Zea mays: one gene and its partners. The protein of the gene in region 4 binds, or shares a complex with, the protein of the main gene of each other region. Links are inferred from orthologs where the notes say so. Each region holds a gene or a part of one and is shown on either strand. Other genes may lie near its edges. The genes, in order: Transcription initiation factor TFIID subunit 6, transcription initiation factor TFIID subunit 10, transcription initiation factor TFIID subunit 1 and Transcription initiation factor TFIID subunit 5.

Region 1 (6,145 bases), about 40 Mb from region 4:
ATGCAATTGAATTAAATTTTGATAATTATACAAAGATTTACTGACACCCTTCACATATCACTCACCTCTGACATACCAAGGCAACCAAATTGGCAGAGAAGTCCCTAAGTTCCCAGTGGTTATCTGAGAGCCTATGCCCTAGCCTTTTCGCAACAATGCAAGTGATCATTGATGGCATCAGCTGGTGCAACTACAGATCAAGACAAATGCTGCTAATTTAGTACTAATACGGCGAAAAGAATATATAAAATGGCAAAAAAATAAGTCGCGCACATGAACTATCAAAACCTTATGGTTTACTACTTACATAAGGTTCAATATGAATATGTGGATTACGGAGAAGACTTTGGACTACTCTCATTAGAGCAAGTAAAACAGGAAGATCACCCAAACTCCGGGTAACCTGAAATTCAAATGGATACACACTAAGTAATGTCATATAAAAAGAAACCCACCAAAAGCAAGAAAGCTACTGTACAACCTCGTCTGCAATGAAGTAGGAAAAGTAAGGAACTAAAGGATGAAGACCAGAATCTTTTGCCAAGCTCACTAAAGCTTCTTTAAAAAGGGACGTATCAGATCTACTCATAGTAAGTTCAGCTATTTTATCAAAGTACATCTGCAAAACCAAACAGTGAATAGACATATAAGTTTCTTGAAAATATATGCGTAATATACAATGCACGGTATCATAATCAAAGTACCTGTAGTTCTCTAGATAATACATGCTTAACAGGAAGCTTGACATCAGCTGGAAGTCCATCATCTTTCCCATGCTCAGACCTTTTATTTTCAGTTGGTGGTACAATTGCTGAAATAAAATGATAATTGGCACAACAAGTATTTTTCTCTCAATATTGGAGAAGAATGTGACTACATCTTGCTAAGGAGAAAAGTAATGACTATAAATCTCTGGACAAAAAGGGCAGACCGTCAATAGCAGGATTCTCCGGTATTGCAGGCTGTACCCCCTCAATCGCTAGCCAATGGGCTACAACTGATGTGTCCAGTGGGGCTTTAGGCAGAGGACAGTCAATAATCTGCATGACACGAACCAGGAAGAAACATTTCAAATGAATGGTTTTGAAATAAGTGGTACGAAAATTTAATAATCATTAATAATGCCACTACCTCTTTGAAGTCTACCTCCCGATCATCAAGATAGAAGAGATCCTTATGTCCAACAGCTCTCTTAAAACGTAATGGATCACCAGAGGCAAATCCATATACGGGCTGATTGAGAACCCATGGACCATGGTAATGAAACAGCAGGGTCAGTTCAAACAAAATAAAGTGTAGCAGAGGAGTTAGACACTTCAATATAAAAGTATGACAAAAATTGCATAAGGAAGGCAGTTTCACAAAAACAGAAGCTAATCAAACAGCTCTACATGCTGAGAAAATTCTAGTAAGAAAACTACATCTATGAACTGAGGAACCAATATTACAACTGTAGTAAAAACAAATATGTACCAGTAAAGCAAAACCATTTTTCCTAAAGATTTCTGAAATGAAATTTCAAGATTACAAATATATGGAAGCATCATTCAAAAACTACTTGTTCGATTGTTTACTGAACCAAATATGCAAGTGGAAGGTGTAAGTTGAATACCATTTACATACCATGAAGACACTTGTCGAAATCTAAAAGTGGATTGTAGTAATGTAGTTACACGCTTTTGAAGTTCTAAACATGATTCGGAAAAACAATACAACGAAAAAAGGATCTTAAATTTATTAGCTAACAATTCACAAGTGCATAGTAGACCTACAAACATATGTTGCAAGTATCCAAAAAAATAGCATAGAAAGGTAATTCACCTCAACATTCCTGAGGCCCAGGGCACTGTCAACATCATCCGCCGTCAGAACAGTCCGCTTTGCATGCCGCATACATTTAATGGATTCCTGAGGCAAAAACACATAAAATGGGATCATCAGAATGGCAATTGAGGTAGTAAAACTGCAAGGTTTCATGAAGACTTGCATGATTATAAGCTTAGCATAAATTAGCGCAAGTGGCAAAAAGGGAACAGACAGTATCCACAAAGAAGTGAATTATGAAAACACTAGATAATGAAATATCAGGCCATAGGACACTCTTCTGTTATCAAACCCCACTAGTACTTCGACAAAATTTTGAGATCCAACTAAGTTCTACATCCCTAAAGGGAAAGAATTGTATAGACTCAACAAATTAAGCAGCATAACTCGAATTACCAGTAGAAAGAAAATAAAAAAATGACTTCACCAGTTGTGCCAGTGGAAAAACAAACAACATCTCACTTGGCAAGTTCATCCCACCATGCAGCCCTCAAAATTCCATTCCACATCATAAACAAGCACACCCTAGAACTAAAGATACTGATTTCATACAGTTGCTCGGGAGACAGTGGCGGAGCTAGGGGCATTTGTTGGTGTCATCTGACACCGATGGATTTTGTAAAACCAATAGAGAAACATTATAATATACTGCTTTATAGTTACATGATCCTATACTCTAATGGCGATGAGACCGGTAACGTTCTTAGCTAGCTTCGCCCTTGTCGGGAGATGAATCCAAACAAATGGCATGTACTTGGTTGGGAAGATGGTGAGAATGCAAGCAATCTCGCTGAGAAGCTACGGAAAACAGGGGGCAATTCCAGCCCAGACTCTTAGTATCCCGGAAAATTAAATAATGCTGATCGCATAGAGTCATTAATTTGGCCGAAGCACACAGCCTGCACTTAGCTCAGATGTACAAAAAAAATTATCGCTTGAGCATCTCCAACAATGCCTCAAACTGGTGCCTCAAATTGAAATATGAGGCTCTACGCAGGAAAAACTACTCCGGCAGTGCCTCATTTTATAAAATTTGGTCAAAAAAATTATAGTGCACCCTCTCGAGTGCCTCAAATATACTACACCGTAGTGGACTGCCCTATAATCTAGATTTGAGGCTTTACTGTTGGAGCGGAATGTTTTGTTGGTACTCTAAATTCTATAAAATATACTTACTTTAAAATTTAGGGTATTTTTATAGGTCACGTTGTTGGAGATGCTCAAAGCATCTCCAACAATGCCTTAAATTGGTGTCTCAAATTGAAATGTGGGGCTCTACACAGGAAAAACTACTCTAACAGTGTCTCATTTTATAAAATTTAGTCAATAAATTATAAGACACCCTCTCAAGTGCCTCGGGTATACTACACCGTAATGAGTTGCCTTGTAATCTAGATTGAAGGTTTTACTATTGGAACAGAAAGTTTTATTGAAGCCCTAAATTCTATAAAATATACTCAATTTTAAATTAATTGACATTTTTATAGGTCGCTGGAGATGCTTAGCCAACCAAATTCACCGCCACTGCTACAATTCCAAGGACAACCCTAGGGCGACGGCACGGAAATCAACCCTCCCAATTCATGAAAAATAGCGCCGGAATCAAAAAGTAACCTAGGCAAGGGGGGCGAGGCCTGACCTGCATGATCTCGCGGAGGCGGTATTCGACGTCAGGGGCGAGCGCGACGGCGACATCGGCACCGAGGCTGGGGATGCCGACGCTCTGAGCGATGACCTCGATCGTCTCCTTGGGCACGATGCTCATTGCGCTCCTCTCGGCCCCTAATTCCCTTAACCCTAGTTTAGCTATCTCCCTCTCGATTCTTCTCCCCAAACAAAGGGTATGTTTGGGACTTCTCTAAACCACCACTTGGAATCTATGGCCTCCACCACAGCAATTTTTTATTAGAAACAAAGTGAGTACAAGCGTGGCGTTTGGGAGACCGCTTACAGGAGACGCTCCGCATCCACTACTCTTCTCCCGGATGTGTGTGTGTGGGTGGGGGGGGGGGGGGGGGGGGGGGGGGGGGGGGGGCGGAGGCGCGGGAGGCCGCAAGGAGGAGGAGGAGACGCTCGCGCACTGGCGACGACGAGGATACCGCGCTGGCGTCGGAAAGGAAGAAGAGCTCGCGCGGGCGCCGGAGACGAGCAAGCTGCAAGCGCGACAAGGCAAAGGTATACATGTCCAAACCGGTCGGGCCTAACGGGCAGCCCCAAGCACGGCGCGGGTTAGGCCCGACCCGTACACGGCACGGTATACGACGGGCTCGGGCCGGCCTGGCACGACACCCAGGCCGTGCTTGGGCCTGAGTCGGGGCACGTCGTGCTGAGCCCGAGCACGGCCCGTTTAAGCATTCGGCCCATTCTAGACCCGGCCTCACATCAAAATATCTATCCCCGTCTCCGACTCCCCGTTACCCACTGCCGCACATTCCAGTCTTCCACATTTCCGTCTCCTCTCTCGGTCGGCCCTCGCCTTCTCCGTCACACTCGCGGACTCGCCCTCTCTGGATCTCCTTTGTGGACGCTCCGGTGGCTCCGTGGATCCGTGCTTTGTGCTCGTCGGCCGTCGACCGTCGTGTTCCTCTTGCTCCGGTGAGCCGACATAGCCCCTGTCTGTAAGTTCGACTACTTCTCGGCTTCTCCTAACCCTAAACCTAAACTGGTGAGTGTTGGTCGTCGGTGACTTTTCGGTGCTCTTGCGATTTGTTCTTAGATCTCTTGTTTCCTCTCGCCCTCTCCGTCTCGCTTCTTCGCTTAGGGTTTGTGCCTCCCCGAATCTGTGCGACTGTGCGTGCCTCTCCGGCTCTCCGTCTCGCTTCTTTGTTCTGATCTGCTCTGCCTACACTCATCCAATCCTCCTTGACCTCAAACAACATCAGCTCTGCCCCTCTGGTTGCCCCTCGTCGACGACTCCGGTGCTCCGGCCACTCAGGTGAAGTTCTATTTTCCTAGATCTACTACCATTGTGCTCTTGATTTTGATATTTTGTATTTTATTTCTACGATTTGAAGGTCGTTGAGGAACCGGTGACGTCGTTGAGGAGACGATCAAGTATCCCTCCATCTCCATGGATCTTGATCCGGACGCCGAGGCGACGGAGCGTGAGCTTGAGGATCACAACGAGCGTTTGGATGAGTTGGCCTTGTTTGGGATTGGCACTGCCACTGGCAGCAATGTTGATCCCGTAGATGTTGATGCGGTGCCTGTGACTGCCTCCTCGAGCCCCACTGCCACTGGTGGTAGCACTGCCCATGACAACTGGCCGAGGAAGAGGCTAGCGACATCTAGGGTTTGGGCTGACTTCGAGGAAGTAACTGGGATCGACGACAAAGGTAAGAAGGTAAGGATCTCTGCTATTTGCAAACACTGCAAATGTACCTTGTCTGCTAAATCTTCATCTGGTACTGGACACTTACTTAGGCACCAAGAACATTGTAAAGCTAAAATTGAACATGACCGAGCAGGCATAGTTCAGTCAGTCCTTAAATTTAATCCTGATGGGTCTGTCCAACGTTGGGAGTATTCTACATTGGTTGCACGAACTGAAATGTGTCGATTGATAGCTAGAGAGGATCTGCCTTTATGTTTTGCTGAGTCTGATGCTTTCCATGAGTATATTACCCATGCGCATAACCCCAGATTTGTTAAGTCGTCTAGGCAAACAATTGCTAGAGATTTAATTAAACATTACAATGGTCGAATGGAGGGACTAATTGAAACTTTGAAGTCTTCAGTTTCATCTGTGGCACTAACTTCTGATATTTGGTCTGGTAAAGCCAAAGAAGATTATATTAGCGTTGTTGCCCATTATGTGAATTCTAATTGGGGTTTGGAAAAACGACTACTGGGTCTTAGGCCTATTGAGTCTGCACATACTGGTTCTAATATTGCTGAACATATTTCTATGGTAGTAGATGATTATGGAATAGTAAATAAAATGTTTGCAATTACCTTGGACAATGCTTCTTCAAACAAAACTACTATGTCTCTTCTTCAACCTATGTTTACTGGTTACCTTGACTTTGCCTGCAATGATATACTTGACTTAGATGATGGTGATGGTTTGAACTCTATATTTTTGCATCAAAGATGTGCTTGCCACATTATTAATCTTATTGTTAAATCTAGTTTGAAGCGCTTGAAACCTTATCTTAATGATTTTAGAACTGCTATTACTTTCTTGAATGCTTCTAATCAACGTATTGCTGCATACAAAATGGTTTGTTTGAGTCAGGGTTTTCGCCCTCGTAAATTTGGTGTTTACATGGATGTTAGATGGAATTCTACTTACTTGATGCTTAAGCATATTGTTCCATAT
Region 2 (6,259 bases), on a different chromosome or scaffold from region 4:
TAACACTTAAATCCTTCCAAGACCAGCTCGTGTGTGTGTAAAACAAACCACAGTTATATATACGGTTGGATCATGACCTAACGGGCCAGAAAGCTCGCTTGCATATAATGACTGATTGCATATTAGTCATCGCCTTAAAATCTACTGTGCAGCACATGCTATTTGCTTAAATATCTATCCTCCATTGTCAAGTTTTTATTCGTGTGCTCTGTTCTTAACTGCCGCTAACAGGTGGTTTTCCTTATGAATTTTTGGAAATTTGTGAGGAGCAAGAGCATATCAAACTGGATCTACATAACTGTGTAAGTTTAAGAAAACAGTGGGGAGATTCAATTTCAAGTCCTGAAAAAACAGTGTCTAAACCAAACAATGTGCTCCTGACTGATTTTAAGAAAACAGATCTACCCAACTGGTTGGAATACAGAAGATAGTAAATGGTAAGCTGCTGCCAACAAAAATAAAAATTTGCAAACTGCAGAACTAAATGGAAACGTAGTTACCTCGCGCAAAGCTTTAGAAAGATCATCCATGGTTAATACAAGACGTCTATCCTGAAAGTAACATTTTTTAGGAAAAATGTGATAAGTAATCAGTAAGGATACTAAACAAGATTTAACGCTAGGAACACGAAAAGTTCAACTAGTGAGTAAATACACCTTCGGCTGTTTGCTCTTATTGTCTTTGATAGGTGCTGCTACCCTGGCCTTGCAGTGCCTAGTTCAAGGGAAAGAATAATGTAACAGCAAAGTTAGTACACACAAATACAGTGTGTATAATACATATCGCTAAGAAAATGTTAAAATAGTTTGTTATATAGTGAACAGTAGAGCACATCATACACTGACAAAAAAAACCAACAAAATAAGACCCTGGCAAACTTACGCAATATAATCCGAAAGATCCCATCCTCCCCGCACAATGGATCTGTTTTTCCACGGGCTTTGTAAATCACAATGCCTTTCAGGGTTATTAAGACCCCCTCCCCTGGACCCTGGTAAATAATCAGCTTGGCACCTGTTCTAGTCATTTAGCAATTCCTGCAGCTCAGTTGCCATAGCTGTCTAGGCTAAATGTGATTGCCAGATTGCTGACTGCAGAATGTGCATTTCAGGTCGTGTCAAACTAGGAGCCTCTCCAGCAGGCGCTAGCCTGCTGCCACTACAACCTCAAATCGCACCTTGCTAAGGCACATGATGTGATACATGAGCCTATCATGATGATTGATTAGGTATCCTTCAGTTAATTAGGTATGCTTTTAATTCGTAACTCATGATGATGATGATACCAAAAAAACCCTAATTGACCTGTTTCCTAATTTTAGTATGCTTTAGTTATTCATCACTTGATTAGTCAGACCACATAAAGAATGAGCCATTGGTAATATAATTACAAATAACAACAACAAAGCCTTTTAGTCTCAAGTAAGTTGGGATAGGCTAGAGTTGAAACCATACAGGTTTAGGCACATGGATAGCTGTTTTTCATACACTCCTATACAAGTAATATAATTACAGAATCTCCGCAAAATCAGGCATACACTTTGTAAGTGTATCTTGTATGTTTTTTAAAAAACTTTGAAGATAATTGCATGTTACACAGTTACTCAATATAGGGATATGTTTCATTTTTTGAAAAAGTAAATGATATGGAACATAAAATATGTAGTAAGATATATAATGTAGAATAAGAGGTAAATACAAGCATCGATGGGCCACATTAACTATTAGCAGCCACCCCACTAACTCATTAGAACCCAATTAACCCAACAGCCCATAAAGCAACACCCTACACTCTCCCCTCAATCCCTAATCCACCAATTCCTCACTTGATGCTGTTTGCCTGTTTACATCAGTCCTTTCCAATGCCGTCTTTGAGCAACGACAAGCCTGGCTGCCCCAAGAGCACACCTCCCAGATTGAGGGCCAACGCCACCCCTTTTGAAATAGAGCTCTACTCATGCAGATTGTGCACTGGTGCTGCCCCCTTCAGATCGAGCTATACAGTTGACCAGTGAAGATCTGCAAGACCACAGGCGCCGGAGCCAACAGAGATGGGCGAGGGCAGGTGCAGGTGCAGGTGCAGCCTTGCCTGGTTCTCTTCATGCTCTTCCTTTCTTTAGCCTCTCCTTCCCTTCCTGTATCAATGGCTCCAGTGCGCATATACATGGTCACCCCCACATATCCAGCATACTCCCTCCTCTCCCTTTCTATCCAGATGCGCCTACCACTGCCTGAAACTTCTCCTTCCTCCCACTTTTTCCGCTTTCCTCACTTATCTGTGCTCTCAAATTGACCACCACTGCCGTCACCTTCCAGATTGACTGTGTCACAGCTGACCGGAGCAAGTTCTGTGCCAGCCACTGGTGTTGGATCCAGCAGGGATGGCAGCAGCTCGGGTTCTTGACCTAGATGCCCTCCCCCCCCTCTGTCTCTATATTTATATTTGATCATGGCGATAGGGATGCCTAGATTTCCAGCGAGCCATATCACGTAAGCGGCACCTTAAAAACCATGTCTCAATGAATAATTTCATTGGGGAGGGATTTTGATTGAAGCCTAATAAACATAACCATGTCTCGATGAATAATTTCACAAGTACATGCAATTAGGGAGGGATTTTGATTGAAGCCTAACAAACTTGTTCAACCAGACAAAAACATGGAATTGCAGTATTGCACAGAAGATTTGCATTCCCATGGAATAAAAGAATGATACTGTTTCATTCATGAATATGCTATCATCATTGAAATTAAGAAGAGAATCCTTTACTTTGCAATAACGAGACTATGAATTTACTCACTGAAGAGAATCGCTAGCAATGTCTGATAGGAACTTCTGGGTGGCTACAGCAACCAGTCTCGTTCTGTAAAACACGAATTCAGATTATGTGTGCAAGAAATCAAGCAATTTGTGTTATTAACTTTAATCCATGGCACTGATCAGATCTCAGCTTACTATTATCCATCAGGAAGAGAGATTGGAAAGAAGACGAGCACTCACAGGCGCAGGTCGGGGCAGTGGAACCCGCTGCGGCCGAGGTAGTGCTCCACCAGCTCGTCGGGAATCTTACGCGCCACCGAACCAAGCATCAGGGTTAAGCCGCTGACAGAAAAGTAGAGAAGGCGAGAGGGAAGCGGCGGCACCATACCGTGGGGGTGTAGTCCATGAGGGATGAGAGGAACTCGGTGAGCGCAGCCTCGTCGTCGTGCCGCCCGTCCCCCCCTCCACCCACTCCCGTACCCATGCCCCCTCCAGGGCCTCCGGCACCGCCGCCACTGTTGTTGTTCATCATCCTGGACCTCACGTCTTGCTGCCTCACTGCCCCCACCGCGCAAGTTGTAACAAGAGGTAGGAGCCCGAATAAACGGCGAGGAGAGGGGCAGCGCAGGCAAGAACGAAGGCGGGCGCTCGTGTTCGGCCGCCTTGCGTACCTGAGGCGATGGCGAGGCACAGGGGCGGCGTCCGTGAGTAGAAAATTGGATTTCTCCAAACAAACAATGTGCTCGCACTTTTCCCAGAAAAAATTAGATTTTTGGACTCCAAAGCATATGTTTCGCTTCATCTTTTTTTTTTTTTGCCATTCATAACATTGATTTCGTAAAATCAAAACGTATCACACTTGTTTTTAATGTTATTTTAGACGTTTTTATCCTCGCATGAATACGTACAGATGCAATACACAGAATGGTATAGAAGAACAAAAATATCCAAAATATTATTAAACCCAAATGTAAATGAGTCTTATTTTTATAAAGTCAATATTACAAACAGAAAAAGTGAGAAACAAATTATTTAAAGCATGAAATCCAATTTTCTCACTCGTGAGGCAGGGTAGAGGAAAGGTTGAAGAAGAATCTAGCATGTGTTTGGTTTCGGAGGAAAGGTTGAAGAAGAATCCTAGCATGTGTTTGGTTTCGAAACGATGTGGGTCGGGTCGAAGCTGATCCATTTTTCTGGATTGGATCGGACTCGTTCCTTCTTTGGTTTCATTGACAGGTCAAACCTAGTTTCTTATTTGATTACAAGGTTAAAGTGGATTGGAGCTGCATCATCTCTTGTTTGGTTTCGTGATGAGGGATGAACTGAATATGATCACCTTCCTGGTCATATTACCACACTCGGGATTATATCTTCAATTCTAAATGAGATGATAACATTCAAAATAAATGAAACTGGCACTATTTTAGTATTTGAGAGATCCATAAGCACAAGATATACATAAATTAAAGCCCTTATTAACCAAGTCATAAATTTTGAGTGATGAGGTCTCATTGTTACATTTCAGTCATAATAAAAGGAACATCACAACAACATCAAGATGCATTTCAGTAATCAAGTTCAACTAATAGTTGCATTTCAGTGATCAAGTTCAACTCATTGTTGCATTTCAGTCTAACAAAAGCTACTTCTCACCATCACTAACTATTACAAACTAACAAAAGTTACTTCTCACCATCAACTCAGTTACATTTCAGAGAATTTCTCAGCGATGAACATTGTGATCTAATGTAATTTGTGCTCAAATAGTCGGTTGTAGAAAGCTTTGCCGATGTGAGGATTGGCCACCAGATGAGCATAGTAGAAAGATATATGTGTAGAATTGAAACTAGGCATTTGATTCAGCATGTCAAATAGATGACTTGGCAGCTCATTATCAGGCTTAGCAACCAATTTACTTGTTCGACGACAGCACTAGTAAGGCTCGCGGGCTATGCTTGCTGGAGAACACGCTGGCACCGGAGGACAGGCCGGCGGGGGACTGATGGTGGGAGACACAGCAGGCCAGCGGGGGAGTCTGACGACGCTGACGGAGGCCAGCACGCTAGAGGGCAGGCTAGTGAGTAGAGATGGCAATGGGTACCCGTTACCCGAAACCCGGTGGGTTTTTGCTCTATTAAGGTATGGGTTTGGGTCAATTTCTCTACCCATGGGTTTATTAATGGGTTCAAATGGAAACCCAACGGGTACGTGGGCATGGGTTTGTTCTTCCACTACCCATACCCGCAAACCCATGGGTTTCTAAAACCCGCCATAAAATCAACATTCTTTATAAATATGACTCATAATATTATTAATTGAATATGTTCTAATTGAAATAAACTTCATGTAACAAATTTTAGGCTAAAATTAGTTATCACTTGTTCCTCTTATGCTAGCTTATTAATGTATTAATTGTCATTTACAAGATGAATTATTTTTTATGTTGATGTTAGTGGGTATGGAAAACTCGTTGGGTACCCGAAACCCGCATGGGTATGGGTTTGGGCAAAATTTTATACCCGTCATGGGTATGGGTTTTTTAGCGGGCGTATTTTTTCTTCGCGGGTATGGGTTTGGGCAAGTAATACCCATTGGGTTTTTACCCATTGCCATCTCTACTAGTGAGGGACTGATTACGGGAGGCACGCGGGGAATTAACGTCGGAGGGTAGGCCAGCAGGGGTCCCTCATCCCAGAAGGATGATAGTGGTGGCGCACCCCTGTGCTGGTCTCGAGTGGATAATGCATGGGTGACAGGAGGGTGGAGAGGAAGTGAGTCGAAGTTGTTCGCTTGTTTTTGAGGATCCCTAGAACCTGCATTTTCAAGAAGTATTTCGACCCAGAACCAACCTAACCCATGAGCCTTTTGAACCAAACGCTGATTGTTGTAGGTTGAACTCGTTCCAACCCACATCAACCCGCTAGCCAAACACACGCCTAGAGTCAAAACGGTTCGACTCGGCTTAGCTTGTTAAGGAATCGAGTCACACAACCAACTCAACTTGGCTCGTTTACAAGTTCGAGCTAGATCGTTTAGCTCGCGAGCCATTAAAACCATATACATATATAGAAAACAATATAATCAATTACTAGTTAATTCTAGACCAATTTAACACTAGAAAAGAGTAATAATACTTACAATTTAACGGTGACGCCTAAGAGGGGGTGAATTAGAACTTCTAAAAACTATCTCTAAACTAAGCCACAAATAAATTCCTAGAACAAAACCTATGCAAAAAGGCAATCTAAAATGTGCAAACTAAGTTTTGTCTAAGTGTTGTTATATCTACCGTAAAACCTAAGTTCCAATCCTAAATATTCTAACTAGAATGGAGATGTTGAAACTTAAGTACTTAATGTAAATGCGGAAGGTAGAGATGCAAACTCCCGTGAACGATGCCGGTATTTATACCGAGGTATCCGGAACCACGCAAGGTCCCGACTAATCCTCGTTGATGCCCCTACGCAAAAGGGTGGTGTGGGCCAAGCACCACAGTCAAG
Region 3 (6,292 bases), about 9.9 Mb from region 4:
AAACATATAAAAAATTGAAACACAAAAGTACAGACGTTTCAATTGATCTCACTATATGCCAACCAGCCATATGAAATCAAATTGCACAGGGCTGGTCATTTCTAACATATAAGCATCACAAACGTGTTTTTTCTCAAGATATCACAGAAAACTTGGACAGTGCATACCTCACAAGGCCGATAGCAACTGAAACCAACCAGTCTCCAACCAAGCCTCACTATTTTGAAGAACTTCCCCAGGAACTGAATTATCAGTATCTGCCAAAGACGAGAGCAACTTTATAACCATGGACAGAGGTGATACCAATGGAGAGAATCTATATCGTCTGTTACCTGAAATACTGTCGTTATACCGATTATTCCCATGAACAGGTGATTCTTCGTGACCCCTTTGAAGACATTCTTTTCCTCGGGTTTTCGTGCATTGAACTCATTGAAGATCTGGCATAAAAAACACACCCAAGTTAACTCAAACCTTCGTTCCAGATCTACATGGAGTTAACACGGGCCATAAATCATCAAAATAATCTATATTTTCATAGCAAATTCACTCTGGTATGGTTCAACTTCGTACAAGCAAGACAACAGGTTAATATATGGTCAGTCAAGGGCCTAGATTCTAGGAGGTTAAAGCTGGCCACATTAAATTACTGGAACAAACCAAAATGCAAAGAAAAATAGTGAGTCACTGAAAATTGACCAAAAACAGACCAAGTGAAGCGCATATAACCAGCTTCCACATAACTTATGCCATACCTGAAATTCGACTATGGTAAAGCAATGAATAGCTTATAACGAGTCCTTACGTGAAGAAAAATATCCATGTAGTATCAATGCTAGGGTACACATTAGTCCCTTTTGGGGGAAAACTACTATCAATTTATAGTCAACTTAATATTGATTCTTTTCTTTTGGGAACAATCCAATGTCAGTATGTATTTGTCTAAAAGGTGAAGCAAGATTCGTCCACTAATGTTCTGTTATGATTCTTAAATTATTGAAGAACAAATACTCCACTGGCAAAATACAAATGTGTTGAAGATGAAAGTATTTGTTACCTTCTCAGCATCAGATCGGCTTTCATTCTGCAGACGCAGAATCCTTACTCCATCAAAATCGAAAATCAGAAGAATTGCTACTTGGTAAAGGGCCTGTGTAAAATTCCAAACATATCAGAACAACAAAGAGTTTTTAACAGAATCCAATTGTATAATGAAGGAATACTAACCTGAACAAACAAGTTTCTCCACATGATATTTGTAACAAGAGGTTCCCTGCAGTAGAAAAGTATGGGTAAAAATGTTTCCAAATTCAAAAAGCATAGTATATAGGTATTGGACACAATGTTGTCAACAAGAAATTTTGGATCATTTGACATGCCTTCGACCAACAGGATTTCTCTTCATAAGGTTGTCTGTTGGAGGCTCGGTTGCTAATGCAAGAGCTCCAAGTGTGTCCATTATGAGGTTCACCCACAGAAGCTGAAAAGTGAAAGAAGTATATGATACTGATGAGAAACAGCCTGGAAATACATGTGTCTCAGGTAAAATGTTGTGTCCAGCTATTAAATGCACTCGGCTACTCCACTGTACTACTGGAGTAGTACGCTGGTAGGACAGGAGCAGGAGCGGGACCTCACACCGCACCTGGAGCTGGAGGCTGGAGGAGGAAGAAGGGGCACGCTCACTCATCACAAGTCACAGCCACACCACACATGAGCTGTGGCATTAATGGATCATCATCAGAGGAGGAGGGGAAGTAAGCGGTCCGGGTCCCAGCCCTCCTCTGAAACGAACCAAACAACCTAGACCAGGTAGGAGGAAGATGGAGATTCATGGAAAAGGGAGAAAAGGTAGCAAAGGATCGGCTCATCTCCTCTCCTCTCCTCTGACCCTGTCCAACTGTCCCGGTCCCTGTTCATGCTAGCTCTGGCTGCGTCTGCTAGTATAGGAGAGCAAAATACAATCCAATCCAATTCTATGCAGTAAGCGCTACCTACAAGCTCACCTTCACGTACATGGGCCCAGCTCCGGACGCGGCCTCCTCCGTCGGCGCCTTGCTCCTGGAGGCGCTCGCAGCGGCGAGGGGACCTCTCCAACCACCTGCGCTCTGCACGGATCGAGAGCGCACTGCATCGGTCACCCGCCCCGGCGGGGTCCAGCGGCCTGCGAAGATATCGAGGTCCGGCGGGAATAGGGACTCGACGGCGAGGTCGGGAGGAGGAGCGCGACGCGGGGGCCTGCTGCTGCGCCGCCATCTTTGCCTCCGGCGTCACCGTTGTCGTCATGGAGCCCGCGGGCTCGGTCACCTCGAGGTCGTAAGCCGCAAGGCCAGAGGCGAACCTCCGTGTGGCGGTGGCCGGTGTAGATGGCGCGATGGCTACACAAGTGCGGATGATCGAGGGAGGAGGGCGCCCCCTATCCTTATCTAGGTAGAGGTTGCGGAGGGCGGCTGCCGCGGCGGCGGGGATCACGGCGGGCGGTAGGGGATTGCGGAGGGCGGTTGGGGATTGCGGCGGGCGGGCGTGGGGGAGGCGGGGGGCCCCTATCCTTATCTAGGCAGAGGTTGCGGAGGGCGGCTGCCGCGGCGGCGGGGATCACGGCGGGCGGTAGGGGATTGCGGAGGGCGGTTGGGGATTGCGGAGGGCGGGCGTGGGGGAGGCGGGGGCAGTCTACATTAGGCTCTTAATAGTTGTAGAGATTTCTTTTATACGTTTATGGGCTACCGCGCCTTATTTTACTGGGATAGTCGACCCGATTGCTCGTGCTCGTTCTCCGTTATGGGCCGCAAATTCTTTTCGGCCCGGCCTGGCCCGCCTCTCGGCGCCCGGCACGCGCCGGCGCCGCAGTCGGCGCCCCAGCCCCTCCCTGCCCTCCGCTTTGCTCTCCATCTAGCCCCCACGACCCTCCTCTCCGCTCGTCCGCCACCGCCACCGCCACCGCCACCGCCGCGCCGCTTCTCGTCGTCGCCAGAAACGAAGCAGGGCTCCGCGCTACCCCGCTGATCTTGCGCTTGAAGATCAATCAGTCCGTTGACGCAGTTCTCTACGTGCAGGGGCGGAGGGCCCATTATCCATCTGGCCCAAGCGCCTCGCCCTTTCTCCACGACTTCAACCCAGGCAGCCTCCGCCCCGTCACCCGCCGCCGCGGTCACAGACCTCTGCCGTCGACCCACGGACCGCGGTCCGGCTCCAGCCTCCACCCGCCCGCCGTCCTCCTCCGTCGCGACCCGCGGACCGCGGTCCGGCTCCAGCCTCCACCCGCCCGCCCACCGCCCACCGGCTTCCGGCCTCCGCCCGCCGTGGGCGGCCTCTGCCCTCAGCCCACCTGGCCATCTCCGCATCCGGCCCCCGGCCTCCGGTCTCCAGTCGCCCCCGGCTTCTGGTCTCTGCCCCCGCAGTGGTCGTGCCCCACTGGGCTGAGGAGGAACAGCTTCCGGTTCCTGGTGCTGATCTTGAACGGCGCGGCGCTCAGGTCGGAGGAGGCGTTGCCGGCGAGACTGAGGTCGCAGAAGGAGCCATACCAAAAAAAATCGTCCTCCGCTACTGCCTACGTGACAAAAAATCCTGCGGAGACCTGGCAGAAGTCGCCCGGTCTCCCCCGCCTCTGGCTTGGCCTCGCCATTTACGCTACACCTTGAGATTTTTATTCACTCCATCCAATCTGGCCCTGCGTTTCTAGATTTTGCGAGGGAAGACGCCAATTAGGAGCCTGAGGGTGCGACGGCCTAGGGTTTGTAGCTACTGGTGTCGTCGCGGCCTGTGGAGGCGGTAGGGGACAGCGACATCTGCAGCCATGGACGACAGCGAGCTCCATGAAGAGGAGAACCCAACCAATAGTGCCGTAGGTGAGCTTGACGATGCCCAGGACTTCATCACAACCAGTTATGCTTTTGGTTTGGTGTTGGTGCAAGTGCCGATGTCGGGCCGATTAGGGTTGTCAAATAGCTGGGCTCTGATGTGTTGGGTGTGCTATGTTAGCTAGTGTATTTGCTGGGCTTTGTGCACGGATCTGTGGTGCCTGTTTACAAATGGGATTTGATAAGCCGATGGCATGCTGTTTGGTGCTATATAGGATTAAATGTTCTTTTTTTATGTGTGGAAAATTTTAGTTGCTGGAGCTACAGGTAGCACCCATGTAAGATGAGGTGGTTAGCATGCTGATCTGCTATGGGCTTGTAATTGTGAAGTTGCAACCTTTAGAGTCAGGCTTTGAGAACCATAAAACTGCAAAATGGTTTTGAGTATGAAGATGATCCTCTGCAGGGTTAATGGTTCCATGATGGTCTTCTGTATTTTATGTGACGTGTTGAAATTAATTTGATGAAATGTTGGTTGAAACTAGCATTGCGATTCTCCGATGCTGCATTTTAATAATACTGAAAACATGTAACCCTCTGTTTGGGAATGCATTATGTCATCATTAACCCTCAGATTCTTAGTTATCTTAACAATTTCCTGAGGTCACTCCAAAACTGGACTCATTTGAAGCTAAGTGCAATTGATTGATTGAAACTAGCAATGAGTTTGTTTGAATAACCCCATCTTACTTATTAGTTATTACTGTTGTCATCCTTACAGATGACGATGACGACGAGGATTATGAGGAGCCTGGTGGAGGAAATCACTTATTGGGGTTTATGTTCGGCAATGTAGATGATTCTGGTGATTTAGATGCTGACTATCTTGATGAGGTAGACACTTCTTTATCTGTTTTTGTTGACATGCAAATGTCCTGTTTTTTGTTGTTTTTATTATTTTATTTCATGTGTCTGTCTCTAGGAGATGACATTCATTTTATTCGTTTCACCTTTTCAATTGTGTGGATGTCTGATATCTGTATCTGTTTTTGATCTTAGTGCATTCTCAATTGGTCATGATTTTATACAGATTTAACTTCTTTGTTGGTTCTCTTTTTCTTAACATTTTGATCCTTAGACTTGTGTTTTAGGGTGCTCGGTTGCTTTATAGGAACCATCATCACTATAAGAACCATATTCCTCTGATTAAATTAATTTAATTTGAGTTCTGGAAATGATGAGATAGGGAAATTCAATGCGACGAAACCAAATTTCTCAGTCCATGCATTGTAATTTTCTCGTAATTTGGATGTTTTTTGAATAATAGTTAGTAGAACTCACTAAATTTTAGCCAGAATAAAGGTTAGTTGCTAAACCTTAGGGTACTTTGGTTTTATTGTTTTTCCATTGTCTGCAGGAAACAAAGTCATTGTTTATTGTTTAGTTATGTTTATAATGCAATTTGGATGTTGCATTTATTTATACTTTTATTTTGCTTAACTCAGGATGCAAAGGAACACCTTTTTGCACTGGCAGATAAGCTTGGTCCATCTCTCAAAGACATTGACGTAAGTTATCTTATGCGTATAGTTAATCTTACTTATCTATTTCATTACCAAACAAGTTAATACTATGTTGTTTGCTAATTAGCTAATGAAGTCTTCTCCAGCACCAACTGATCCTTCCGAACAAGGTTAGTGACATATTACTGTTTCCATATAAGCTGCACCTACAGTTTTGAGAGTTATTCATCAAGCCAACTTTGCCATTGCTTAGGAAGACCTTATTCTTCTTTTTCGTGTCAAACTATGCACATAATTGATAACACATCTTTTTGTTGTTATGTAGACTATGATGAGAAGGCAGAAGATGCTGTTGATTATGAAGATATTGATGAAGAATATGATGGACCTGAAGTTGAGGCAACTACAGAGGAAGACAATGTGTTGTCAAAAAAGGATTACTTCTCTTCATCTACAGTGTATGCATCAGTCAACAGTACAGTTTCAGTGTTTGACGATGAAAACTACGATGAGGAAGAAGAACCACCCAATGATAATGAGCCTCCTGGTGATAGTGCTGCCCAAAATTTATCTTCAGGTGATACTGGATAATGTGCCTAATGTTTTCAAGTTCCATTTATGTTAGCATTCATCCTATTTTTCTTACTACTTTATCGTTTCCATGCTGCCCCTTTTATTTGTTCCTTCTATCTAGTGATTAAACATTTGTAGCTTGGCACCTCCGTTTTGGTCTGCAACTGTATTTGTCTTTATATTTGCATGTCCAACCTCCCTTCTGCTGGCTTGGGCAAGCGTTGATGGTAGCGATGAAGTCTGTTCCAGTCTAACTCTAATAAAATGAACTGAAGACTTGACCATCTTTTTTTCACCTTTTTCTATTGTGATCATAGACTCTAGTTTGGCGTAAACTTCTGTTATGATCGCTAGATCAGTGAGGGATTGGAGAGGGTATCGATGGGTAGGAACGTCGGC
Region 4 (5,110 bases):
TCTTGCAACAGGAGGGGATTGACTTCGATGATGCTTTCGCCCCCGTGGCACGGATGGAATCCGTGCGATTCCTCCTTGCGCTGGCAGCCCAAGAGGGCTGGCACGTTCATCACATGGACGTCAAGTCGGCGTTTCTTAACGATGACTTAAAGGAGGTCTACGTACACCAGCCACCAGGTTTTGTGATCCCTGGCAAGGAGAGCAAGGTGTTGCGCCTGCGCAAGGCTCTTTACGGCTTGCGACAGGTACCGAGGGCGTGGAATGCTAAGCTGGATTCCACGCTCAAGAGGATGAGCTTCACTCCAAGCCTGCACGAGGCGACCATCTATCGGCGGGGCAATGGAGAAGATGCCCTGCTGGTGGGTGTCTACGTCGATGACTTGTTGATCACCAGCGCCAAGGATGCAGAGGTGACAACGTTCAAGGAAGAGATGAAGGCCACCTTGCAGATGAGTGACCTAGGGCATCTCTCCTTCTACCTGGGGATTGAGGTGCACCGGGGTGAATGTGTTCTTCACAGTCAAGCTACAGAAATGTCTGACCATTGCCCTTTGCTGCTGGGTCTTAAAGATGGAGTGAAGAGTAGGAGACGGTTCCATTTTGGAAGTTTCTGGACAAGACTCCCAGGGTTCATGGATACTATCGCCAATTCCTGGTCACAACCAGTAAGGTGTGTGTGCCCACTTGAGCACAACAAGACACATCAAGACACAACTAGCTCTAGCTAGTAGCTAGAGAAGTCTGTGAGACAACTGACCCATGATGAAGCATGGTTGAGAAATGAGCTGAAAAAACTGTCTCAGACTTGCATCTTTTGAAAGAACCATTGCAAGATTAAGGGCCAGAATCAGGTTCTTAAAAGATGGGGATGGGAACACCTCTTTCTTTCATAAGCAAGCTGCTTTCCGTAAAAGAATAAATACAATCACAATACTTAAAGATGGTGACCAGGTTGTCACTTCTCAGGAGGAAAAACAAGAAGTTTTTTTTTGAGTTTTATAACATCTGCTGGCGGCAAGTCGTAGTGTGTGCGTTGGCGGGGAGGGGCTGCTGCGCCGCCAGAGGGGCCACGACAGCGCGGTGAAGGGTTGTGGCCGCCGTTGCCACAAGTCGTAGTGTGTGCGGGCGCGGGGCGGGCCGAACTGGCCAGATGGGAAGGGGAAGGGGGTCGGCCGGGCGTGGCTTTCCCACTGTGGCGTCGACGGCTGCTGAACAAGGGAGAAGGGCCGATGGCCTGGGAGCAGGAGGCGTCAGCGGCTGGGGCAGAGCTGGTCTGGGGCGCCGACGAGGAGAGGGAGGGGCAGGGCCGGCTAGGGGAGAGGGTTGGCTGGCGGCTGGGAAGGGAGCCGCCCCCGGAGGGGAGGAACCTCCCGGGGCGGCGGCGCAGAAGCCAGAGGCAGGCTGGACCTGGGCAGCTGGCTGGCGGCTGTGGGGGTGGGTGGTGGCTAGGTGAAAGTGAAACCCTAATCCTCTGATACCATGTAGGAATATGAAGTACTCGATATATTGATAGGAGATAGGGTACAATATATAGACTCACAACCCTAACCCTAATGGGCCGGCAGCCCAACAGTGGTGCCCCCCCCCCCCCCCCCCCACTCACCACCCACACACACAGTTTAACAGAAACACAACTCTCCCGTGCTTTCCAAAAAAAGATAATTTCTTGTCTTACAAGTTACAACAGCAATATACCATGAATTTTGAGAAGCAGTACAAAATTTCATCTTCTGCAACATACTGACACATGATATTACTGTTACACTAAGAGCTAGTTTGGGAGCCACCAAACCGGAGGGGATTGGAGGGGCTAAAATCCCCTTGGAGGAGATTTTAGCCTCTCTAATCCCCTCCTGTTTTTGGACTCCCAAACTAGCCCTAACAGGCAAGTCCTTCAAACACTAGCAGCAATGCACCTTCTTCTGGGGGAGAACCTGTGATAATAACAATGCAGTCATTGATTTACTGCAAGGTAGCAACCCATACCAGTGGAATATATAGCATGTAAAGGTTGAACACTAGTGCAGGTTGCCCCTTTTTCTTTTTGTGCCGGTTTCCACTTTTGTTTAAGTTGTAGGCCTCGTTTGGGAAATACGGTAACAGGCTACCCTGGTCATTTAGCACCGCTGGGACAAACCTGCAAAAAAAAAAAAATCCCCGTCTGATGCTGCCCGGTGGGGTTTGGGCACCCTGTGGCTATTTGGAAACTGCCGAACAGACTGTCCACTTCAATTCTCTAAACAAACAGGTAACACAAGCAGAACAAGTTAACACATATGCCAAACGTTTGGTTTATGCACCAAAGGCAAACAAACTGTCCAATTTAATGTATAAATAGAAGAACACTACAAGCAGATTGTCCAAATGTTTCAGTAGAACCAGTTTTCTAAAAACAGAGAATGCTGACAAGAAGCAGATACAAGAGACTGGGGTTCAGACACAGGAGAATGCAGTTCATGAGACATGGCTAGCGGCTTCTTCTAGATGGCTTCCTTCCCTGTAGATATGCACAGAAAATTGGCATCAAATTAATGAAAAATGAAGATCAATCAATAAAATAAGATAACATGCCACAACTCTGACTCTGCGAAATTAACTCACCCTACAAGGTGAAGGCGACAGCTGGATCTAGAGGAGGATGAAGTGAGACACGGAGACAGGGAGCGGACGAGACGAGGCGAGACGGGGTGCTGCGTCGGCGGTGGGTGAAGCGGCTGCTGGATCTGAAGGGGGACGAGCTGAGACCCTGCGTCGGCGGTGGGTGAAGGCGGCGGCGGGATCCGGAGGAGGACGAGGCGAGACAGGGAGGCGGAGAGCGGACGAGACGAGGCAAGACGGTGGTTGCGTGCCCGACCTTCTGACGCGTGTTTTTCCTGCCCGTGAAAACCATTCCGAACCGGGGTCACGCTTCCCTTCCAATGGACTTCCAATTTCCAAACGTCGACGCAGCCACAGGAGTGTTGTGTTACACGGGGCATGGAGAAGCTGGGTTTTGGCTGGGAAACCCGCGGGTTTCGAGAGTCCCAAACGAGTTCGTAATGTAAGACGTCAAATATACTCCCTCCACAAAAGAGTGCAATTCTAGCTTTGAATCTGGACAACTGCACTCTTTTTGCGACGGGGGAGTATATTATTTCTTCCTGTGACTGTTCACGATGTGCGTTGTTCTGCGACACAAGTTTGAACTGCATATACTTGTAATTTGAGGGATTTACTTAATTATATGATTTCGTGAAATATGCTATAGGCTAATATATCCTCCTGTTGTTTTAGCTGTGAAGGAGCATTGCTTGCATCGGGATCGGCTGACTGTACTGTAAAGCTCTGGGATGTCGCTTCTAGCACAAAAACCCTGAAGACAGAGGATACGTAAGTTTGACATGATAAGATTCTCATCCATTCGAGTATACACTTGATTCTCTTGCTCTTGACTGCAAAACACACTTGTCTTTTTTTTTTCTGAAACAGCAAAGGCAGCTCAGCTAACCGACTGAGACTGCTTAAAGCTCTCCCTACAAAATCAACTCCTGTTTATAGCCTGCGGGTGAGAAATTTCTCCTTTATTTTCAGCATCATTTTTTTGGGGGTACTATGTGGTGAGAACTGACGAATTTGCGGATTTTTGACTTCTGCAGTTTTCTCGGAGGAACCTTCTATTTGCCTCTGGTGCTCTCTCGCTAAGCTCGTCGTAAGCTGTGTTTTTTTTTTGCAGAAAACTAGAACTGGTCCTGTTTTGACATTGAGTAGTGAAGCTGGCATTTCAGAGACTGCCTATTGTACAGCTAATATTTTCATTAGCAATTCCAACGAACTCAGCATGTACTGCCGAATTGAGCACCGCAGATTCGTTGTAGCGGGTTGTGATATTGTAACAATATTATTAGGTAATTACGTTCTGTAAAATTGTTTTTTAGGTTGTGACCTTATGAACGCAACTAAATGTACAAGTGCTGACAGGCGATAGCGTGAATGCAATGGTCTATCAGGTCTGGAGTTTGGTTTAGTGACCAGGTAATTCGAGGGGATCATGGGGAGGAATATTCCGTGACCATTTATTTAGAAAAAGTCTAAATTGTTTCCGTGGACAATGTTCTTATAACTTCCTAAAATATTTTTAGTTTATTTTACCTCTCAAGTTGGTTTAATTTATCCCATAATAAAATTTGACTTTTCATTTCTTTATTTCTTTATGTATAAACTGTGTTTTCAGTTTAAATTTTATTGGTTAATGGCTAATAGCATAATTTAGTCTAGAAAATGTATTATCATTTTTATAATTATTTTGATAGTTTAGTCATTAGATAAGATAAACTAAATATAAAATAATGTTAAAAAAATCTTAACATATTGTTCTAACATAAATTATAATATTCTCAATCAACTCAAAAAATATAAACCTTAAATTTAGCTTATAAATGGAGGAACGTAAAAAAATCATGTCAAGGGAAATTTTGTTTTTTTTCTGTTCTCTACGTACCAGTTAAATAAAAGTTCATATTTTGAGGTGATTGATGATATCGTAACTTATGTTAAAATTAATTTTTTATTATTATTATTATTTTAAATTTAGTTTTAGACAATGAAAGTTATTATCCTAAAGCTTTCAAAAGAATTATAAAAAATTATAATATATTTTTAAGCAAAATTATGCTATTAGCTACTATACAAAAAATAAGCTGAAAACTTGATTTATACCGTAGAGAACAGGTGATCCTACACCATATAACCATCTAGGTAGGGGAACGAGACTGATCGACTGTCAGTGGCTAAGTTAGAGTAAATTTGATAGGGTGTGAATGTGTGTTTGCCTCATGAGTGCATAGACATCAGATTAGGACATATACAATAGGGATGGATCCGGATATTTATTCGGATGTCAATTTCTTGGTCTTCTTTCTACAATTATGAACAAATAATATATAGAATTTGCTATGTAAATTTATATTCTTGTTTTTAGCATTGATGCTATTAATATTCAAAAAAATAAATATTAAATTTGTTCTATATCTTTTTAAATAATTGATATAAAATTCGAATGTCTATCCGAATACGGATTCAGATGTTTTTTCACCTTTTTGTTGGTTGTATGGAGAAAATAACGTGCATAAAA

Evidence for each region.
Region 1: Transcription initiation factor TFIID subunit 5 (region 4) and Transcription initiation factor TFIID subunit 6 share a complex: the UniProt entries of both Arabidopsis thaliana proteins name them as parts of the TFIID complex. The link is inferred for Zea mays from reciprocal best matches to the Arabidopsis thaliana genes TAF5 and TAFII59.
Region 2: Transcription initiation factor TFIID subunit 5 (region 4) and transcription initiation factor TFIID subunit 10 share a complex: the UniProt entries of both Arabidopsis thaliana proteins name them as parts of the TFIID complex. The link is inferred for Zea mays from reciprocal best matches to the Arabidopsis thaliana genes TAF5 and TAFII15.
Region 3: Transcription initiation factor TFIID subunit 5 (region 4) and transcription initiation factor TFIID subunit 1 share a complex: the UniProt entries of both Arabidopsis thaliana proteins name them as parts of the TFIID complex. The link is inferred for Zea mays from reciprocal best matches to the Arabidopsis thaliana genes TAF5 and HAF01.

The regions. Positions count from the first base shown.
Region 1 is NC_050104.1:148,194,679-148,200,823, reverse strand, and holds the start of Transcription initiation factor TFIID subunit 6, read right to left. Parts: upstream 3,815-6,145; 5' UTR 3,590-3,814; coding exon 3,464-3,589; intron 1,909-3,463; coding exon 1,822-1,908; intron 1,234-1,821; coding exon 1,132-1,233; intron 1,041-1,131; coding exon 932-1,040; intron 812-931; coding exon 705-811; intron 620-704; coding exon 482-619; intron 404-481; coding exon 308-403; intron 191-307; coding exon 66-190; intron 1-65. UniProt on the Arabidopsis thaliana protein: TAFs are components of the transcription factor IID (TFIID) complex that is essential for mediating regulation of RNA polymerase transcription. Required for proper pollen function. May stabilize the interaction of TFIID with selected promoters.
Region 2 is NC_050102.1:124,193,175-124,199,433, forward strand, and holds the start of transcription initiation factor TFIID subunit 10, read right to left. Parts: upstream 3,534-6,259; 5' UTR 3,431-3,533; exon of another isoform or gene 3,310-3,430; 5' UTR 3,292-3,309; coding exon 3,148-3,291; intron 3,065-3,147; coding exon 3,000-3,064; intron 2,863-2,999; coding exon 2,800-2,862; exon of another isoform or gene 883-2,799; intron 715-882; coding exon 657-714; intron 552-656; coding exon 501-551; intron 1-500. UniProt on the Arabidopsis thaliana protein: TAFs are components of the transcription factor IID (TFIID) complex that is essential for mediating regulation of RNA polymerase transcription.
Region 3 is NC_050104.1:98,682,872-98,689,163, forward strand, and holds the start of transcription initiation factor TFIID subunit 1, read left to right. Parts: upstream 1-2,764; 5' UTR 2,765-3,793; coding exon 3,794-3,845; intron 3,846-4,578; coding exon 4,579-4,691; intron 4,692-5,302; coding exon 5,303-5,365; intron 5,366-5,447; coding exon 5,448-5,490; intron 5,491-5,645; coding exon 5,646-5,897; intron 5,898-6,292. Other genes in the region: calcium-transporting ATPase 5, plasma membrane-type, read right to left, coding at 989-1,150, 1,228-1,273, 1,380-1,459. UniProt on the Arabidopsis thaliana protein: TAFs are components of the transcription factor IID (TFIID) complex that is essential for mediating regulation of RNA polymerase transcription. Core scaffold of the TFIID complex.
Region 4 is NC_050104.1:108,586,410-108,591,519, forward strand, and holds the end of Transcription initiation factor TFIID subunit 5, read left to right. Parts: intron 1-3,273; coding exon 3,274-3,369; intron 3,370-3,468; coding exon 3,469-3,544; intron 3,545-3,635; coding exon 3,636-3,692; 3' UTR 3,693-3,933; downstream 3,934-5,110. UniProt on the Arabidopsis thaliana protein: TAFs are components of the transcription factor IID (TFIID) complex that is essential for mediating regulation of RNA polymerase transcription.